Linked DNA regions of Drosophila melanogaster. The protein of the gene in region 2 interacts with the protein of the main gene of each other region in a pairwise test. Each region holds a gene or a part of one and is shown on either strand. Other genes may lie near its edges. The genes, in order: EMC5, Syt12, ninaD and Pex3.

The links.
Region 1: the proteins of Syt12 (region 2) and EMC5 interact in a two-hybrid assay, tested with the Drosophila melanogaster proteins (one large-scale study listed by BioGRID).
Region 3: the proteins of Syt12 (region 2) and ninaD interact in a two-hybrid assay, tested with the Drosophila melanogaster proteins (one large-scale study listed by BioGRID).
Region 4: the proteins of Syt12 (region 2) and Pex3 interact in a two-hybrid assay, tested with the Drosophila melanogaster proteins (one large-scale study listed by BioGRID).

The regions. Positions count from the first base shown.
Region 1 is NT_033779.5:18,986,187-18,990,124, reverse strand, and holds EMC5 (ER membrane protein complex subunit 5), read right to left. Parts: upstream 2,419-3,938; 5' UTR 2,337-2,418; coding exon 2,255-2,336; intron 2,190-2,254; coding exon 2,137-2,189; intron 2,069-2,136; coding exon 1,874-2,068; 3' UTR 1,832-1,873; downstream 1-1,831. Other genes in the region: CG15170 (uncharacterized protein), read left to right, coding at 38-172, 354-1,831; Swip-1 (Swiprosin-1), read left to right, coding at 3,215-3,453.
Region 2 is NC_004354.4:13,357,197-13,363,133, reverse strand, and holds the start of Syt12 (synaptotagmin 12), read right to left. Parts: upstream 3,887-5,937; 5' UTR 3,697-3,886; intron 1-3,696.
Region 3 is NT_033779.5:18,079,727-18,085,401, reverse strand, and holds ninaD (neither inactivation nor afterpotential D), read right to left. Parts: upstream 3,775-5,675; 5' UTR 3,738-3,774; coding exon 3,609-3,737; intron 3,550-3,608; coding exon 3,247-3,549; intron 3,179-3,246; coding exon 2,367-3,178; coding exon of another isoform or gene 2,363-2,366; exon of another isoform or gene 2,306-2,362; intron 2,304-2,305; coding exon 2,213-2,303; intron 2,149-2,212; coding exon 1,942-2,148; 3' UTR 1,794-1,941; downstream 1-1,793. Other genes in the region: CG31741 (uncharacterized protein), read right to left, coding at 1-576, 706-1,134; Arr1 (arrestin 1), read right to left, coding at 5,208-5,255, 5,316-5,445.
Region 4 is NT_037436.4:15,142,104-15,147,842, reverse strand, and holds Pex3 (peroxin 3), read right to left. Parts: upstream 3,489-5,739; 5' UTR 3,294-3,488; intron 3,175-3,293; 5' UTR 3,062-3,174; coding exon 1,904-3,061; 3' UTR 1,464-1,903; downstream 1-1,463. Other genes in the region: CG32147 (uncharacterized protein), read left to right, coding at 3,834-4,046, 4,133-4,594; Pdi (protein disulfide isomerase), read left to right, coding at 5,390-5,543.

The DNA.
Region 1 (3,938 bases), on a different chromosome or scaffold from region 2:
TGCGTTGTAACCTTAGAGGGGTTTTTTTTTTTAATAGCAGACCGTTGTTTTGGCATTGTTTGCTACCACTGCGATTCCATTGCCCTGCCGGAATGTTCCCAGACCCTCGGAGAAGTGGGAGTTCTTCCCTACAAGGAGTGCGCTACCGAGCTGACGTGTGCCATGTCCATTGGTAAGTGAACCTAAATGTGATTTGTAATTGTTTCTAAATCGACGGATAGTCGGCCATTTTATAGAATCTATTTTTGCAATTCATTAATATTTCAAAGGTAAAGACCATTGATATTGATTGATACATATTTGAAATATTTAGTAACTCCGATTTTCTATACCATTAATCGCACACAAATTAGTGGACTCCATTACATACCGCGGCTGCGGAGCAGAAACCCCCATCATCGGAGCGACTTACTCAAAGACTTGCTCAACGAACCTGTGCAATGCGGGTGTCTATCCGCCGGGACGACTTAAGTGCCATCATTGCGCTGGACAGGAATGCGTGGCAGCTCCAGCATCCAAACCAAAACCCTGTCGCTATCATTTGGAAGAGGATCAGTGCTACACGGATGTCATAAGTTCTTCAGATGCCTACAGAGGTTGTACCTCCGAGCAGAATCACACGCTGTCCACTTCCGCCCAACTGTGTGAGATCAATGGCTGCAATGAGGAGCAAGGAGCTTGGACCCAAGTCTGCGCCACCTGCGATTCAGCAATCGGCCGGGGTTGCAAGATAGATCTCTTTCAGGTCAACACCGGCAGGTGCAATGTTAGCTTATACGAGGAATGCCAGCAGGATGTTCTGTTGGGTGAGCAAGAGGATAAGTACTGCTTCAGCTTTCGCAGACTAAGCCGCGTTGTCAGAGGATGTTCTACTAAAATTCCAACAGATTTGGAGCCGTATGTAGAGCAATTAGAAAAGTGTAATACCAGTGACCACTGCAACGCAGGATGCATTACGCAGCAGAAGTGTTTTACATGCAACTCCGTGGATCAGGAACTTTGCCGGACAAATATTACGGCTATAGCTAATAGCACTTGTAGCTCCGCTGAGGCCTCTTCCTGTTTCTCCTGTGAGTACTCCAACTGGAGTATTCAGCGAGGCTGTGGAGCACCGCCGGAAAATCCTCAAATCACCAAGTGCTATGAATGCGATGAAGGCGCTGGGTGTAATAGTAAGGATTTCACCCGGTGCTACCAATGCAGCACGGATCAAGCGGGAGCAGGCTGTGCAAATTGGGAAAGTCCTGGCGAAATCTACATTGAAGAATGCGATGAACCGGCTGCACCATGTGTGGTTGTTTCCTTTAACAACGCCACCACTGCGAGAGGTTGCCAAAAATCGGACTTCAGCTGTGCTTCCGCAAATGTGGCCAGTTGTCGACTATGCGAAGGAAGTTTCTGCAACAAAGGATCATTTCCGGAGGAGCGCCTCTGGTGTCATCAGTGTAGGGGAGTGCAGGACTGCGAGGAGATCTCCAGGGGACAAACGGCTATGCCTTGTCCGGCTCGAGCAAATGAGCCGGAGGATCAAGAATTGGCCTGCTTGGAGTACTTTGACATCAACAGTAAAGAAATTGTAAGAGGATGTCGTTCCAATCCCGAGCTATACTACGAATGTCTCTTAAGGAGTAACCACTTCGACAGTTGTCGCACTTGTCACAGTCAGGCATGCAATAATAGTCCTGGCCGGGAATTAAGAGCCAGCTATGAGCTGGAGGCCAAGGCATTGTCCTTGTTGCAAGGCAAGAGTTCCGCAATATCCATCAAATTTTCGAATGCAGGTTACGGAGTTTGGTTGATCTTTAGCGTTATCTATATTGTAACTTGCTGAGACTATAAATAAAAGGATAGCAGAACTTAAAAGAAAGGTCTCTTATTCCGGGGGCGTATATCCAGGATTTAAGGCACGACCACGGTGATTGAAGGAATAGAACGAGGGGAAGTTGCCCAAGGTGTCCCAAGTTTTCTGTTGCATGTCCACGGTGGCGCGAATTTCCTTGAAGTTGCCAACGATCTCGATGATGTTGTAAATCACAATCACCAAACTGATGACGGTCTGCAGGATAATCTAAGGATTGATAAAGGAAAACTTTTCGTGAGTAACCATGCAAGCACCCTAAATGCACCGAAACCTACGTCCAATGGAAGGCTATTCCATTCCTGCTCCGTCAGCCTCAAATAGGTGCGATCTGTGGAGTAAATGCGGCACTTAGTGGTCCAAAGTTTATTTACCACAACAGTGACGAAAACTTACGATGGGCAGCAGAAAAAGCAGCATGTGCCAGGCTGGCAAATCCGGCAATTAGCAAGAGTTTGTTAAACAGTTTACTGCCCATTTTTATTGAACAATTACGAATTACAATCACAGTCGGTACAATTTTCTACAAAATTTTGCTAAATTGCTATCAAAATGCGGGCACACCTAGGGCTGGGAGCTTTGGACGATAGTTTAGGGTTGTCTGTATACCTCATATGCCGTAATATATTTAAGAATCTTAAATTTAAATATTTTATTGGGAACAACATTAAAATTATACAAAGATTGATTTTGTGATCAAACTAATTATATAATTATATTATAACTATATAAACATACAATAAATATTCGGTTACATATTTTGCTTAAGAAAGTTAAAAACTTTCGTAAAATTTGAAACCGTCTGTTCATCAGCTAGCTTTAAATAATGATTATATACATTATTAGTAACAGAATGAATTAAAAAAATTGTAAGGTATATATATTGCCTCGAAATTCAGCTGACTTTGGTATTTGTCAGCACACGGTCACTCGAAAAATGCCGCCGCGCCCGCTGGTATATTTGAACGCTCGTGTCACGGTCGCACTTTCATTCGTCTCTCAGCGTTCAGAAGATTCGGTAGTCGCGGCGGTCGAAGCGGAACACCAGTTGTCCAATAAGAAAGCCAATTTGCAGCAAAAAAAAAAAAAAAGACCGGCAATTCAAACGCACCTTGCAACTGTTTTTTCAAAGCCAAAAAAGGACTCAGGGCCACTCCCCACGACAAAAGCTTACGTGCAACGAGTCCGTGTGTGTTTTCCTGGCGCATCGCCGCATTTGTGTGTGTATCCGGACATCTCTTTTACGGTCCTTTTTGCGTGGGTGTGCCAAAAGGAAGAGAGAGTGAGAAGGCAGCAGAAAAGGGCAGAAAGGGAAATTCCAGCACACTAAAAAGCGAGTCAACAAGGAGCGACACAATGTCCGTTTCCTCGAACGCCTCATCCGCCTCCAACAAGGACAGCGTGGACAGCCCCAGCAGCACCACCAACACGGACAGCTCCGAGCTGACGCACATCCTCAATCGGCGCCAGGAGATCATGGAGTCCCAGGAGGCGGGCATCGAGGTGCGTCGCACCTACAAAGTGGTCAACGTCTACACCGACTTCCCCGAGTTCTCCCGTAACCAGATCAAGGACTACCAGAAGACCTTCAATACGTAAGTGAAGGCCGCCGAGCAATATTTACTTTTGTCCAGAGCCACTTTAAGGCGCAATATAAATTATATTAATATGGCGAAAAGGAAGCCAACATTTTGTTTATTGTTTTTGAAAACACCTGAGCAAAATCCGTTGCAATAATAATAGTTTATGATAAGTAACGATCATCTCTAGATTATTAAATAAATACAGTGTACTAGACACACTTGTATACATTACAAACGTTTGTAAATGTATATCTATTACACAAGATAATTCAAAAACAGAAATCAGTTTGCAAAACTATTTTAGGGCTTTCAATTTGCGCCAACCTTTACACTCCTTTCACCTGCAACGGCCACTTTCCCAGGCATCTCACCGCATTTGCGTCTCATTAAATGGCAACATAAAACTCATGCGCCTAATGATCATTTAAATTGCATTTACTGCAGCCCCTCCTGCAGCCAACCCACCCCTCCCCTGCCCCCCTGGGCAATGGGGCATG
Region 2 (5,937 bases):
CAACTCAACTGGATAACAATGACTCATCTGTGCGCAGTTTTCACATTCTCAAAAAACGAAAATAAAACCCAAATGTTTTCATCGGAAACTGATGACAATGGGGGTATAGATGGGAGGCATGGCATTCTAGAGATTTGAAAAACACTTTCATCTCGCATCGCTTTACACTGAGCAATTTGCCTCATCATTGCGATGTGGGTGCGTGTGTGTGTGTGTGTGTGTGTGGGGTTTTCTTTTGGGGGGGCGTGTACAGGTGCTCGTTCTCGTTCTCAATCACAAACTTTGACAGTTTCTCAATTGAATTTGTAACCGAAGACGCAGCATTGCCACTTCAAAGCGGCGGCCACCAGAAGGGGTGACACGCCATGCTCGTAGAAGTGCTGCGGATGTGGAGGAGGTTGGTCCAACGCGACCATTGTCATGGATCATTCCGTTGACAGACCTCCGAATCTCTTTATCATCCACCTTATCATCCGCAAGGGACTGATGCCACGTCAGGCACTCAACGAGCTTAGGTAACTCGGGACTTATGACGGATTACAGTCAAACCTCTTCGCAGTGAACACATAACTGCATTTTTGTCCAAAAATCATTCCCTTGATTTATTGCAAAAAAAAATCAGTTTTTTGTTCAGAACTTTTGAAAGAATGATCCAAATATGGAATATCATACCTCGTTGAACTCGTAATTAAATTCCTAACCGAACTGTATTCAAAAAGGAAAATTCTAATTTTTCGCCATTTTTTGCAAATTTTGATGATGTTACCCCTTACAAAAAATGCGAAAATTTGGCCAAAAAATTATTTTACAAAATCCGTTCAAAAGTGATAGGGATGGTTAGTATTGGTAATAGGGAGCATAAAATGGTAATTCTTTTTGCTGTGAGGGCATTTTTAACCAAGTTATACCCAAAAAACCGATCTTAATTATTTCAATTTTTGGAAAAATGGTTTCCCTGATTTTTTGTAAAAAAACTAATCGGTATTTTAATCAAAACATTGAAAATAATAATCCAAATATGGAATGTCATACCTCGTTGAGTTTGTTTTTTGAATCCCAATCGATTTGCATTCAAGTTTGGGAATTCTAGGATTTTTCAATTTTTTGCAAATTTTGATGATGTTACCCCTTACAAAAAATGCGAAAATTTGGCCAAAAATAAATTTTACTAAATCAGTTAAAAAGTGAAAGGGGTGGTTAGTATTGGTTATAAGGAGTATAAAATGGTACTAATTTTTGCTCTGTGACCATTTTTAGTCAAGTTATAGCCAAAAGAGCCAACTTGAAAATTGAGTTTTTTGCCAAAAATAGTTTCCCAGATTTTTTGTGATAAAATATTCGGTATTTTGATCAAAACATGGGAAATAATGGCCCAAATATGGAATGTCATACCTCGTTGAGTTTGTTTTTTGAATCCCAATCGATTTGCATTTAAGTTTGGGAATTCTAGGATTTTTCAATTTTTCGCAAATTTTAATGATGTTACCCCTTACAAAAAATGCGAAAATTTGGCCAAAAATAAATTTTGCAAAATCCGTTAAAAAGTGATAGGGATGGTTAGTATTGGTAATAGGGAGCATAAAATGGTAATTCTTTTTGCTGTGAGGGCATTTTTAACCAAGTTATACCCAAAAAACCGATCTTAATTATTTCAATTTTTGGAAAAATGGTTTCCCTGATTTTTTGTAAAAAAACTAATCGGTATTTTAATCAAAACATTGAAAATAATAATCCAAATATGGAATGTCATGCCTCGTTGAGTTTGTTTTTTGAATCCCAATCGATTTGCATTCAAATTTGGGAATTCTAGGATTTTTCAATTTTTTGCAAATTTTGATGATGTTACCCCTTACAAAAAATGCGAAAATTTGGCCAAAAAATTATTTTACAAAATCCGTTAAAAAGTGATAGGGATGGTTAGTATTGGTAATAGGGAGCATAAAATGGTAATTCTTTTTGCTGTGAGGGCATTTTTAACCAAGTTATACCCAAAAAACCGATCTTAATTATTTCAATTTTTGGAAAAATGGTTTCCCTGATTTTTTGTAAAAAAACTAATCGGTATTTTAATCAAAACATTGAAAATAATAATCCAAATATGGAATGTCATGCCTCGTTGAGTTTGTTTTTTGAATCCCAATCGATTTGCATTCAAATTTGGGAATTCTAGGATTTTTCAATTTTTTGCAAATTTTGATGATGTTACCCCTTACAAAAAATGCGAAAATTTGGCCAAAAATAAATTTTACAAAATCCGTTAAAAAGTGATAGGAATGGTTAGTATCGGTAATAGGGAGCATAAAATGTTAATTCGTTTTGCTCTATGACCATTTTTAGTGAAGTTATACCCAAAAAACCATTCTTAGATATTGCATTTTTGAAAAATGTAATTATTTTAAAATTTTTTGGAAATTTTTATCCAAAATTTCGAAATTAGTTTCCATAAATCATCCAAAATGTGTTTTTAGTATTGTTAATTAACTTTGTGATTTGGAACTGAATTATCGCATATTTCTTTTAGGGAAGCTGCACTGTATATTGCCAGATCCATTAAGCCTGATTATTTATTTTCTCTACTCTGTACTCATTAATTTGCTCGGAGATGCATCGTATCCAGTTCATTGAGCTGGGAATTAAATCGGTTTAATTATACATACATGCCTTGGGTAAAAGAGCATTACATTAATTTACCAAAGCATAGGGTAGCCTATTAGATACCGTGTAATACGAGAAAGGATTTACTATGTAATTGCTTAAAAGAAACTAGAGTTGCAGCTGTAGCAATGTTAATTTCCATTTTTAACAATATTATTTGATTGCAACTCAATAACAAATTAAAAGGATTTCAGATTTGAGATGCTCTTTAATTAGAGGTGTTCTTAGCTGCGATAAACTTACAAAATAAAACAGAAAATACACAATCTGTTTTATAATCCTCATAAAGCAATGCCCTTCAGAAGGCAGTAAAAAGAGCATTATATTTGGTGAAACTGTCGGTAATTTCAGTCGTAATTGGCCATTAAAATTTGGCTAGTTTAGTAGGGCCAAGTTGGTAGCACAACGCTTGTGGCTTAGAAGAACTTTTAGCCGGGCCAAGAGGCAGCAGCCAGCTGAAGTGCCACTTTTCATTAACCTACTGGGAGGTCATTCCACTGGCTCTTTGCTCTGTCTTTTGTTGCTGCAGGTGCACACAAACACACACACTCACGCAGGCTCCTCCGATAACTGATATATGTATATGTATGTATGCGCATATACCATATATATATGCTATATACACTATATTTGGTTTTGGGCCTGAAAGTGTCGCACCGAATTAGCCAGAGATGACCTCTTTTGGGCCATCAGAAATGGGACAAGCTGTGAAAAGTGAACGCCAGTCACGTTCGGCGAGTGACAACTGTAGCCCTTACCCCATTTTCCATTTCCATCGAAAAAAAAACAAAGAGCAGAAATCAAAAAACTTTTCACTGTGAAATGGAGAGTGAAAAGCGGGCGAAAGTCAAAGTAATCAGAAATGGGAAAGAGCCAGGGAGATGGAGGCTCAAGATAAAAGGCCAAAAATCTAGAGCAACGCACACAGACACACCGAAACGCAGCTCATTTGGATTTTCCTGCATTTTTCCCACTCGCACTTTTACCAAACAAAACAAAACAGAACAGAACGGAACAGAAGAAGAACTAGCAATTGCTTACCTTACTTATCCTTGCTGATCATTTGGCCACATTTAAATGGCAAATATATTAGTTTATCACTCTGATTTAACAATACAAATAATAACAAGTAGTAACGCTGCGGAAAGAGGAAGAGCAGGAAGCGGAAGTGCGGGCGGAAAATTCGCTCATTTTCGTAGACCGTTCGGTGCCAAAACTCGCGGCCAACTGGGGGAAAGCTGGTCAAAACACAGCAACAACTTTGCTCCACTTTCTCTTTGATATGCGTTTTTGCAGCTTTAAGCTTTCGTTTTGAAAACAATGCAAGCTTCGTCCTTTCTAACGAACTTTGCGTCGGCAAAAAAAGGCGAGCTTTTGGGACAAGCTTTGACACAAAGGTTAACTATTGGCGAATGCTATAAATGCACCATAATCTAAGGGCACAGCCAAAACTTCACCTAAATTCTATAAAATTAAAGGAAAACGCCATAAATGCGACTTAGGTTTATCCATAAAACGGTGATGATAAATGATAGAAGCGAGCTTTTTATGGCGAAATTTTCTGCTATTTAAATGTATTTATCTTAAAGAACTTGTACTTTCTAATAATTAACTACCAAATTTATTACAAAACGTTTTAAAAGAATTACTCTTGTTTAAAATGTGCTTAAAAGTATAAAATTAACTAAAAAATATGTTCTTTGGGCATATAATGTTTTTACATACGTAAATAAATTGTAAGAATGCGTAAATCTACTTAGAAAACAAGCGCATCTTAGAATATTAATGTTTTCGAAGTCTGTACTGAATTCATAATATTTTAATAAGAATATACGAATAAGAATAATATGTTCTAGGCGATATTTTCCAGTTCGCTCGTGTCACGACTTCCACCAAAAACACGTGCGGCGCATATCTGTCCTACGAAGGGGCTGAAATCGGCTTGGAAGGCATATAACATATATCGTAACTGTTATACTTTTCCCATTTGGCAATGCCGTTGTACAGCATGCCCATTTCCGGTAACAGCGATACTTCGGCTACTTTCCCCCAACTGTTAGCCACTTCCCCTGCCTGTTGGTCATGGAGTAACTTTTGTGGATCGCAAGCTATAGAACAGTTTGACCTTACTCAATGTTACTGCAATCCCTAATCCTGGAATTTTAACATTTGCCGAATCCGAATCGCTTTAAGCGGATTAAGAAAGCAGGAGAATGAAAAACTAAAAGAATGATAGGTGCGGGTAGGGGAATGGGGGTGCCTTCCGTCACTCCTCTCGGCTTGCAGGGTAAACGGCGGTGGGGTGCAGCGGGGGGGGGGAAGGGGGGTGAGTTCTCGAAAACCTGAATAATAGATAGATACACACACACAAGGGTCGGCCTTTCGGCCGATAATGGCTTTAATTCGTGGTCAATCTAGCGTGACTCCCCAAAGGATGCTCGGCGCGAAATGTTTTTACATCTCTCGCTCTCTCGTTGCCCCGAAGCGCCTAATAAATTTCACATTTTGCAACTTGCCGCATTTTGATTTTGCGGCCATTACGCAATTTTTGGCACTGCCGAAATGCCAAAAAGGCGAAAGGCATATATCCCAATCCCCAGCTGAGCCACGCCGCAATGAAAATGCTGAATACAAGAAAAAAAAAATGAGAAAAAAAACCACTAACGATTAAAAGCACACTCAGTTTGGATAATTTTCACAGAATTATTTCGCAATTCCTCTGACAGCAGCAATCAGCAGATTGTTCGCCAAATCAAATTGCTTTCAATCGACACTTTGGCGAACGATATTTCCACCGGACAAGGGGGCTATAGCCACGATGCTCGATATTCTCGATTGTCGGTCAAATCTTGGTGGGCAGAAAATCAAAAAAAAAAAAAATAAAAAAAAAATACAACACAATAAAATGAAATAAAATGAGAGAAATAAAATAGGAAAAGGAAAACCGCATTTCAGGCTAAAATGAAACAATAAAAACGAGTGCTGGGGTCGCAAAAATGAAAAGGTCTAAATTGCAAATGAAATGCAACCGAATCAAATAAAAAAAATAAATAAATAAAAATAAAAACCAGAAAACAGAAAAACAAAGGGGCATTCCCGAGTTGAAGAGTCAAAGGGAAAGCAAATAAATTGTACAAATTGTGGTAAATTGCGACTAACACAAACAGCAACTATGTTGTGAGTGCCACTGTATAGTATGTATAATAATGCCAAATGCCGAAATGATTTCAAATGCAATTTCAATTGAATTTGCAAACAGGCTTTTCCGAAACCAACCAGACC
Region 3 (5,675 bases), on a different chromosome or scaffold from region 2:
TCCGTTGCGCGGGCACTCGCGATTCTTGAGGCAAAAGCACTCAGTGTCCGGCGACAGCTGGCCATTATCGATGGTGAGATTGGTGGACTCGTATCGCCAGACATCAATGCCGTCTATGGTGAGATTTTCCTTTGGAAACAAGTTCAAGTACCGCGCTGCATCTGGTAGGAATATGGTGGTGGGCTGATCCCACGTCCTGTACGGCGACCAGAGTTCCCCCGTGCTGCCATTGACCTTGCCGCATTCGCCGGGATAAAAGCCGGTGGTGTTCTCTCCATTCCACAGGAGCAGATCTCCCAACTGGCTGAGATCCCCACGGCCAGTGTGCAGTGTAAAGTTTCCCTCGGCCGTCTTTGAGTTATTCCTCTCGTAGAACCAGCCAAAGGTGTTGTCGTAAACCGGGAGCAGGGGCGAATGCAGCTGCTCCACGAAGTCAAGCAGATGGTCATAATAGCCATCAAAGAGCCACTGGCCAGCTGTGTGGGTCATATGGGTGGCGCCGCCTTCGCGATTGAGAGTAAAGTTCATGACCTTGCGCAGGATGCGGCGCAATCGGCGCGAGTACAAAGCAGCTGTCTAAAGCGTATAGCGGGATTAGAGGGGATTACTGGATGTGGCGACAGATATTCGGACAGAGATATTCGGTATTCTTAATGTAAGTTTTGCCGTCAAATAGCATAGCACTCAACCTTTAATCAGACTTACCAAAGTAGGAAAGTGTGGGGCTATAACTACATCATCAAGCGATCCATTTGACTTTTCCGGTAGAAAATGCCAGGTACGTTTGCCGAAGTAGGTCACCTGGGGCTGATTCCATTCCAAATCTTCCTTGACCTTAAAGTCACTGAAAGTGTAAGGCCCCAGCTGCTCAAAGTGCGGCTTAACGCCCTCGGTGTTCAAATCCCCCGGATTAGTCCAGTTGAAGAGGAAAACTGTGCTATATACCGGCGTGGGCGTAGTCACCCAGCGATTGTAGATAAAAGAGTTGGGAGCCAGGGGCAAAAGACTTCGAATCCATTGCCGAGATACGGCTGGCCAGGCTGAGGCCAGAAAAATCCCAATTGCCAGGATCAGGCCTCCCATGGAGAAGACCCAGATCTTTTGCTGGCGCACACTGCAGCAACCACAACGCATCGCCTCCGATCGATTTCGATACTGGTACGTCAAGCAATTTAAACGGGGATATTTATAAGCGAGCCCACTTTTGGGATACATTGATGTTCAATAATGGGAATGCAAGATTAGATTTCAAGAGCAAATTAACAGGTGATTTTTTTATTTTTATATTTGTTTTGAATTCTCCACTTGGAACGCTTCTGATAGGCTAATCTCCGAAAGCTTTTTCAAGTGGCTTGTTTTACGGCCTGAGTTAAATGTTATACGAAGTTTTGTGATTATATTTCGTTTCACTCATTAGATAAATCATTAGATGCACTGTAAAAAAGAAAATACAACTGAGATACGAAATCGTTTAAATAGGTATAGGAATCACATAACTATTATACAAATTTGTTGAGTTTTTTAAATCTTAATTTTAATGATTTTATTTAATTTTCTTTTTCTTTTGTGTATATGAATTAATTATAAACTAAAAAAGACACACAGATGATGTTTGAATTTTAATTTTAAAAACAATTAAAAAATGTTCTAAAATAAAACCTTTATTTAAAGAGCCTATTTAAATTTGTGTACAAGCTTCTATAAATTCATTCACTCAATCATTTAAAAAACCACATAGATAAATATAAGCTTTAACTAATTTAATTATTGTAAAATGAAGACAATAGTTATATGAGTTTTTTAAATTTTATTAATTTTTTCAGTTGTTTAGAAGTTTTATATTTTAAAGCTAGAATAAAAAATGTTTAGAGTTATTTATCACATATATGTTTTTTGAATCACATCCGTGTGCTGCTCATTAAAAAAAATGTTAATACTAAATTAAAAGTTTCGTTCGACCACGTTGGCCGGAACTTCCGGTTCATATGGAGTTTCCTCGTTATCCTTGAGAGCCAGTTTGTCCAACTCGGCCTGGCCATACCACTTCCTCTTAATGGTAAGTAAGATGCCAACTGCTATAAGAATGCAGCCCAGGCACAGGAATCCCACTCCAGTATATCTCCCTATAGCCGGTAGATTCAGTGCCAACTAAAAGACAAAATGCATTATTTAAAATAGAAATCAACGTAGTTCAACAAGCTCTAAAACATACCCTAAGTTCTGAGGCGAGGGCTTCGTCGATTTCCGCTCGACTAGCAGTGGTAAAAAGTGGTGCATAGAAGCTGGGCAGGCCCTTCAGTATGCTAGGAAAAAATGTGTTTATCAAGTCATATATATGGTAGGCAACAATTATTGTAAATAATTACTCTATAACGCTGTCTGGCTCTATGTACAAGGTAATCATCACATTGGCATTGACCTTCAACGGCACTCCCATCTTGCGCTCCATGATGATATAAAAGTTATTTTGATCGTAATTCGGATTGTAGCCGCTTATCGTGCTGCCATAACTTTCGTCCGCGTACATAAAATGATCCGCAGAAAGGTACATGGGAACTCCATCGGCACACGGTCCTAGGTCAGTGGCTCCGGTTGCAGGACAATTATCTGGCTGGCGCTCCAAAGGACACCAGCACTTCGCGTTACCATTGATCTGTCCATTGTCGAAGGTATTCGGCGTTATCTCGTACTTCCAACCCGTGATGCCCTGAATTGTTTCGCTCTGTCCGGTGAACTCAAGATTTATGATCCGACAAGTATCCGGAATGAAGATGGTCAAAGCCTTCTCCTTGGGCTCATCGGGCACAAAAAGATCCGTGGTGCTGCCATTGAGACGTCCACATTCTCCATCGTACCATCCCGTGTGATTCTGGCCCTTCCAATACTTAATTTCACCCATCTCCTTGATGTCACCCACTCCGGTGTGTACAGTGAAGGGACCCTCGAAGTCCTTCGATCCGTTACGGTTGAGGAACCAGGCAAAGTGATCCGACTCGATTTTTGGGACCAATGGATTATTCAGGGTCATGGCGTAATGCAAAAATTCGTCGTAGAAACTTTCGAACAGCCATTCAGCTGCCGTGTGGGTCACAAAGAGATGTCCACCATTCGCATTTAGGGCCTCGTTGAACATGAATTTCAGGAAGACGTTGCTATTCCGCATTTGGTTTGAAGCAGCCTGCAAAAAGTGAAAAAGGAAAACTTCTTTTAGACCAAATTGTTTTTTAATAACTGCTTATTTCCTACCAATGAAGGTAAATGTGGGGCGGTAATTAAATCCGTTTGCTTGCCGCCAGAGAGCTCCTCTTCCCAGAACCAAGTTCTTCTGGGGTTAAAGGTAACTGTGCCATTGTCGTGCCACTCAAGATCCATCTTCTTCCTCTCCTCTCGATAAACATAGGGTCCAAGTTGCGCGAAAATAGGTTTTACTCCATTAGCCTGCACATCTGCGGCATTTGTCCAGTTCCAAAGATACATGTAGACATACACCGGAATGGGCAGCTCCTCCCATTTTTCAAAAGTCTTTGAAGTGGGTGTCAACGGCAAGGCCTTTTTAATAAATCGATTAGTACTCCTCCTTAATTTTATTTTTATACACCGCCTCTCACCTTCATAATCCCTGAGTCTATAAAGCCAGGCCAGCATATTATGGCCAGGAGTCCGGAGACCGCGAAAAAGGTTCCCAGGCCGAAGACCCAGGCCTTTTGTTGGGTCACCCCACAGCAGCTGCAGCACATATTGAGAGACGAAACAAAGGCTTTCGAGCGACTGCAAAGTGGAAAAATATCGCTCGAGTTTTTATTCATGCGTCGCTTAGTAGATTATCCACTAGTAAATAAAGCAGCGGCTAATCATCATGTCTACTGTGGTAATCAGCTCGGTTTGGTTTGCTCAACTTATTCTGTGGGGTGATTGGGATCTAAGTGTGTGTTTAGAGTACCAAAAATCCTGATAAATGCAAAACGCTGCACTTAGTTTATTGAGAGTGCTGGCTAATCAGCCAGACTAGCAGTAGTAGCTATTTCATGCTGCCACGTACCAAATACCACTTGGTAACTAAATCAAATTTAACGATACATGGTACAATTTTATTTATAATAGTATATAAAAGTAATTAGGTACATTTTTATTTTAGGAATTAAGTTTCGTTTATCAGTTCTTAAGTTTTTAATAGCATGCCAGAGTGCTTCCTAATTCGCATTATAAATTAACTTGAAGCTAGTTGATTAAACTATTAATACGGTCAACTATTTTTGCCTTGACGCTCGCCCATCTTATCGGTTATATAGCATGTATGCTTAAATTAGTATTTGCAATGCAATTTTTATGGTCAGCCACTATAAAAGATCACTTCCAAAGACGGCAATCTAATCTTCCTTAATGAAATTCGATTAATCCCATTACGCAAAACCATTTTAAACTCATTACCCACCTGGTCTGCCGAAATGTTGGCAGCGTGATTGATCAGTATTTCAACCCTGACTATTGGAAAATTTTGATTAGAGTGGCGTTATCGTTAATATTGGGTGCTTATTAAAAGTGGGACTGCAAACATTCACAAATTAAATGGATGCGTTTGAAGTGTGTTCGCTTAAATTTTACGATTTCAAAGTCCAGCAAGAAGCTCACCATATTATATCAATTATTGTCCATTTTCCTTACTCGAATTCAGTTCAGTAAACTTCCTCCAGCATAGTGGCCAAGTATTAATTAGGCTGCTCCTCGGCTTTTCAGAGTAGCAATAATTGGAATTACTAAGCCACAAATGCAAGACCCACTATTAGTAATTGAATAGATTGCACTGGCTTCTGTTGATTTCCCCATTGCACTTCAATGTACATAATCAGCAGACATTGCAAGATATCAAATACTACGAAATGCCTTCGTAAGCACATTATTAAATATTTAGTGCGCATTCCATACAAACTTTCAATGCTGGAGCCTTTTCAAATACACCGTGCTAAATTCAATAGAATACTCCAAAATACATACATAAACTCTGTTCATATTTAATTGTTAGTTGAGTTATAAATATAATACACATACACACATACAATATATGGATATTGGATTTGCTATATAGGAAAAGTACGACGACTGCAGTTCAGAACATTTCAGCAACATCAGCATTTTTTAGGATCTACAAAAATCGGTTTGACTTGTAGAAATACGCCATTTTTTTCGTTGGTTGAGGTAGCCCTTTCAGTTTAGGCCTCAATGGAGCCCTCGGCTTCCAGTTGGGCCTTGCGACTTGGCTGTAAATAATTGATTGCCTTTCAATAACTATTCAAATATTTGGGCACACCTTTTATTACCTTCGGGTGCATCAGAATAAATGGTAGCTCAGCGCAGAGCTCGCCGCCCAGGGCTCCCAAGAAAAGCTTGACCTTCACAGCATATGAAACAATTATGCCAAAGGCATCCCTCGCATCCTGACTGGCAATACTGAAATAGAATTTTAAATATGCATTTTTCACTTAGTATTAGTATGCGTTTTATGCCATTTTGTAAACACATTTAGCTAAAGAACTGTTAGTCACCGGGAAAATACGATTTTTAAAAAGGTTCCTAACTTTAAAATTTGATTGATTTTATGGTATGATTTTAAGTTGATACTTAATAGAGTATAATATTAATGTTTCATCTGCTAAGCTATGATGTGAATAAATTTTACT
Region 4 (5,739 bases), on a different chromosome or scaffold from region 2:
TTTTTTAAGGGTACTTTGTAGTGCCTTACCATTATTTCTTGAGCACTCGTTTCGAGGAGCTGCCTTTGAGTAGTATTTGATTGTTTCTTCGCAATTAGTTAGTTTGCTCACTTGTGGCCCTGCTAATAATAAAGTGTTGATATTTTTAGACCTTATAAGAGTGGTATTCCCGTTACTGCCGTTACTGCCTTTCCCCCACACCACCGCCTTTGCAGCCCCCTCCCACACCACTGTACGCACGCACTGTCTGTCCCGTTACCAATATACCGCTGTGTCTGTCTTTTTCGCTCACATGTGCTCATGTGGCCTTTTGATTTTCATGTTCAGTTTTCTCTTTGTCTTAATCAATATATTTTGTGGTCGGCTAGTAAAAAGTTGATGGGCTAAGTGGGCTTTTAGCCCCATCGACTGGTTAATAAACATTTTGCAAGTGCACTTACACAATTGAGCCGCCGTTGTTGTTGTTTGTTTGTTTGACGGTGGGCTTTCCTCCTTTAGCTGGCTTTTCCAATTTGTGTACTTTTTGCAGTATTTCTCATATTTGCACACTCGGTTTTAACTTGGCTTCGAATCAGTTATTCAATGCATTTCTTTCATTTTTGTATATTTAATTATTTTTTTTACACCAACACATACGCAAAGTCTCGCAGGGATGTATAAAAGTAACTGTTGTCCTTTGCCTTTTCACGTAACTTTTGCAACTGCGCCCAAAATGGAAATTTTGTACCAGACAGCTGGGCACCCGAAGGAGTAAGAGAGACGGATGTGAAGAGAGAGTCCTGCGAGAGCGAACAAGTCGCAGAGGGGCGAGCGTGATGTAAATGTATCTAATTACTTTCACCTCCTTAAGCATAAACTTGGTTCAATTTATGAAATCTTTTAAGTTACTTTCTGCTTGATAGTTATTCATAATTGTTATATTATAATGAATCTTCGCACATGCGGCATTTCTGCGCAAGTGCTTGAAGAGAGTGAACAAGGGAGAGAGCGGCAAGAACAAGAGAAATGGCAAACAAACAAAAGCCACAGACACAGCTGTCTTATCACAGGGCGGTTTTCTGCCACCCCCTTTTGACTGATAGCAAAGACAACCGTTACTTGTGGGTTGTGTCTTCGATAATTCAATTCTTATATTTTTATACATATTAAGCATTTATAACAAGAGAGAATGCTATAGTCGAGTTCCCCGATTATCAGATAACCGTTGCTCCGTTACTAAATTAATATATTATGTACATTTAAAACCGCAAACTGTTAGAAACTTGGAGGAAAAAGTATATAAGAATCTCGTATATCTCCGACATAATTATTGAATTTATTTCTTATTAATTCAATACAAGTATGCACCTATGTACGCATGTATAATTTATCATTCTATAAATCAATATCTGTTTTAATTAGCTGTAAGAATAAAAAGAATAAGTTCCTTCAAAAACTTTAATATGCAAAATAATAGTCTTTAAATACGGGGAATGCATAGTTTATTAGGTTGCCATTTGTTTACACTTCCTTTAAGATTAAGACCCAAGCTTTCTAGCATGGTATAAATAAATAATCTGTCACTTATCATTCTATTAATCAATTACACTTTAAATTACATTTTCATATAGTTTGGATACTAAACTACCCTCAGGTCCATCCTATATGATTCTCTCATATGTTGCATTTCCTAACTTTCCATTTAGATTAAAAGGCCTTCACGTTACTCGATTTGTGTCCCTGCCCTGAAAGGATTCCCCGTGGACGAAGCTAAACCTAATACGGGTTGGGTTCAAGCAGACATACAAACAATGCTTCTGAGAATACAGATCTTATTAAAAATATACAAGTATATAAACTATAATTTTCCAATTGTCTTAGCCTAGCCTATGCACGGATGCATAATCCAAGTTTTGTTGATCCTCTAAGCGGAGCTAAAGCTTTCGTAGACGTTGGCCCCCAGCGTCTTTGTCTTCTCGGCGACCACGTAGAAGGTTAGCAGTTGGGTGGGCAGATTGTGGGGTCGCGAAGTGGTATCGAAGCCTCTCGAGGTGAGACCACTGATGATAGGAATGAGCTTTGCCAACGCCAACAGCACTCGGTTGATGTTCAGCAAGTTATTGTTCTCCAGACCGTTTTGGCTCTTCGAGGTGCTGGCGCCTAAGCTTCCTGCCTGGTTAAACTTGACGCTCTGTTCTTGCTGCGTTTGGACTTTAGCTTGTGGCAGATGCTGCAAAGTTTCGCCCATGCTTTCGGCGATGGCATCGCAGGCCAGCACAAAACCACGGCTTACATTGTGCGAGCACACGCCAACGGCATCCTCGCTCTCCAACAGATCCAGCGTCTCGTTGACCATCTTTTGCAGCAGCGGCGAATGACTGGGATTCTGGCTGGGCAGCAGATACTTGCTCATTCGCGAGTTGGGATCCCGACGAGTGTCCGCATTGATGGCCATTTGCAGTGACCAAAACAGTTGCTCCAGGTCGCTAAGGGAAAGCTGTTCGGAGAGCGGTATGGTCTTGGTGACTGCGATGACCTGGGTGCGAATGTAACGGGCTAAGTCCCGGATGCCCGAATCCGTGATAAAGTGTCGGATGAGGGAGAGATACTGCTGCTTTAGCTCGTCGGTGACTTGTTTTTGTTCCGTCATGATGTCCCGATAGATGTAGCCACCGAGAAGATTTAGCTGGACCCTCAACGCAATAACCAGCATGGAGGAGGCGTAGACATAGGTTGCCAGTCTTGTGAATGCCACAATTTTCATGTCCTCCCAAAGTTCCAACTTGTTCTTGGGATTCTGGCGCAGCTGCTCGAGCAGCTCGTCCGTGCTGCACTCCCTCAGAACCGCTTGGCACATCTCCTCGCCCATGCCTAGGATCACCTGGTTACACGTCTTCTCCGTCGACTCAAAGTGGGTCGTGCGCCGCGTTCTCTCGAAGAATTCCCTGGCCTGTTTCTCCTGGAACTCCACGAATCGCCGTTGTGCATAACGTGCCGCAAAGATGGTACCGCCCACCAGAACGCCGGTCACTATGAACTTTCGCCGGTGGCGTGACAAGAAGTCCTGCAGGCGCGACAGCATGTTAACGATTGGAAAAGGCCTCTTCTGCCGGATGGACAACTAGAATCCGCTTCCTGTGTGAAATAGGCCAACTGCTGTTCAGATATCCCACTTTTTCCCGCTCCACCGGCGACCTGTTCGAGGTTAATAAATAGTTAATGTGCAAAGTTCACCTGTGTGCGTAGGGTGGTGCGCTGCCGGCGTCGCTGCCAACAGAGGAGCGTCCTCCACTCATCCGCAGCGATTAGATTACCAGGTAGTGCTCACCTATATACCCCTGCTCGGAAACTCGGATCTGGTGCGCCGCCTTATCGGGTCGATTGCTGGCCTTTGGATCGGATCTAGCTCTGGAATGTATGGAATGGATTTATCCTTTGTTGTTGTCGCTAAATGTGTTATTTCTCTGTTTGGTGCCGCATACTGCGTCGTCTGTTTCCGTTCAAGAAAAATCCCAAAAGTGCGAGGTTCGGGAATACCGAAAAATACCATTTCGTTTAGTATATTTGGTGTTACTGTTTAAATTTTTATTGAAAATGGGGATGCTTTTTAGTTATTTATTTTTTCGTTATTTCGAAGTGGGTTCAAAAAAAAATAGAAAATATAAAATAATGTTAATTCACCTATAAATGACGAAAAATAAAAAACTTCGATATGCTCCAATTTCCACCGTTCCGCCATCGTCGCAAACATTTGAAACGCATGATTCAAAGGGTGAAGAAGAAGATAGAAATCATATGGTATTTAAGATAGTTCTGTTGTTGGTGGGGGGTTTAGTTTAGTTGGGGTGTTTGTTATGGCGTCGTCAGATCGAAAGCTCATTGTAGTCTCCGGATTTGGTCCATTTCTCGGTCACGAAGCGGTCAACGCCAGCTGGGAAGCTGTGAAACTGCTGCCGGAAATCCTAACTCACGATGGCATAGAATATGATCTGGAAAAGCGGTTGGTTTCGGTGGAATACGGGGCTGTGGACGAGGCGGTGGCGGAGATTTGGAAACGCCAGCCATATGTAAGCATCGCAATTGAACCATAAATAGATAGAGGCCTTATGATATCATCTTTCTCCCAAAAAAATAAAAAACAAAAAAAAAACAGCTTGTTATCCATGTCGGTGTTTCGGGCGTTGCCAAGTGTGTATACATCGAGAAGCTGGCGTACAATCACAAGTTCCGCCGAGCTGATAATTGTGATAAAAAACTGGCCAACGGCACTTGCGAACTACCCAACAATGGACATGCAAATGTCTTGAAGACCGAATTAGATGTGGATAAGATTGTGGCGGTTGTAAATGAGAATTGCGCCGATTGTGTGGGACCCACACAACAGCCGACACATAATGATAATCTCAAATCCCTGAGCGCCACAAAGGCATCCAAAAATGTGGGTGACTTTCTCTGCGGCTATATCTATCTGAAATCGCTCGATATGGACAGAAAACGAAGCCTGTTTGTCCATGTACCTCCTGTAGATAGGCCATTTAGTAGTGTTAAGACTTCGGAAATACTTTTTAGCATAGTCGAACAATGCATTCAACAGGTGGTCGCTTTTGACTCCTGAATTCCGCAAAATATTCTTCCAATATCTGTCTTTTTAAGAATTATTTACATGTGTGCTGTTAAGTTGTTTAAGAAATGAGTTTTATTCTTTTTAAGATACAATATTTTATATTTACTTTTTATTACAATGAAACAGAGAAGCAATACAACTGCATTAATAATTACACAGTCTTTTTTGCGTTTACACAACACCAGTCTTTATTTTAAAAAGGGTAAATGACATAAAGAGAATGACGTAAGTTATTTAAAATAAAATTTAATAAAAAAAATGAATTAAAAAGAAGAATTATAAGGCCTTTACAAATTGCCTTATGTTAAATACAAGTTAACTTATATACAATACAATACGATACTATTTATATCACAATATTTTAAAATTATGGTATTCGAAAAAACCGTAATATTTAAAAAAAAAATAGTACATTACTGAATTAGTTAAATATAAAAATAAAACTTCAAATATATAAACGAGATCCTAAACTAAAAAAATTTACCTTCGACGATTGCCAACCTTTGGGCACCCAAGCGCCACCTACAGTTCAATGCTCATTCATTGACAAATATCGATATTAGTAAAATTTATCGGAAACTTGTAGAGAAATACCAAAAATCCCTCACCTAATTCAGCTTTATATGTATATATCTCTGCGTTTCACTGTCACTTGAATTCATTTGAATTTCTACTTGCAACCGGGCAAGTTCAGCGCAGTTCGAATCCCAGTTTTGGTTGGCGAGTGTGCTGCACCCACATAGGGCAATAGATTCAATAAATATCAAACGACGACGAGTGCCCGCAATGAAATTCCTGATCTGTGCACTTTTCTTGGCGGCGTCCTACGTGGCCGCTTCCGCCGAGGCGGAGGTCAAAGTTGAGGAGGGTGTTCTGGTGGCGACGGTGGACAACTTCAAGCAGCTGATTGCCGACAACGAGTTCGTGCTGGTCGAGTTCTGTAAGTACATGCTTAGATCGAAAATAAGGCACGAAAATCTCAACAAAATGTGGCAAAAATCGAATATCAAAATGCGAAATGCGCCGGCCGCTAGCGCGCTCTCACTCGCACCCGCTGATTCATGCGGCTTAGCGGCTACGTGGTCTTTCAAAGCGTCGGAGAAAATCTGTCTGCGTGGCAGTTGTTGTTGACTTGA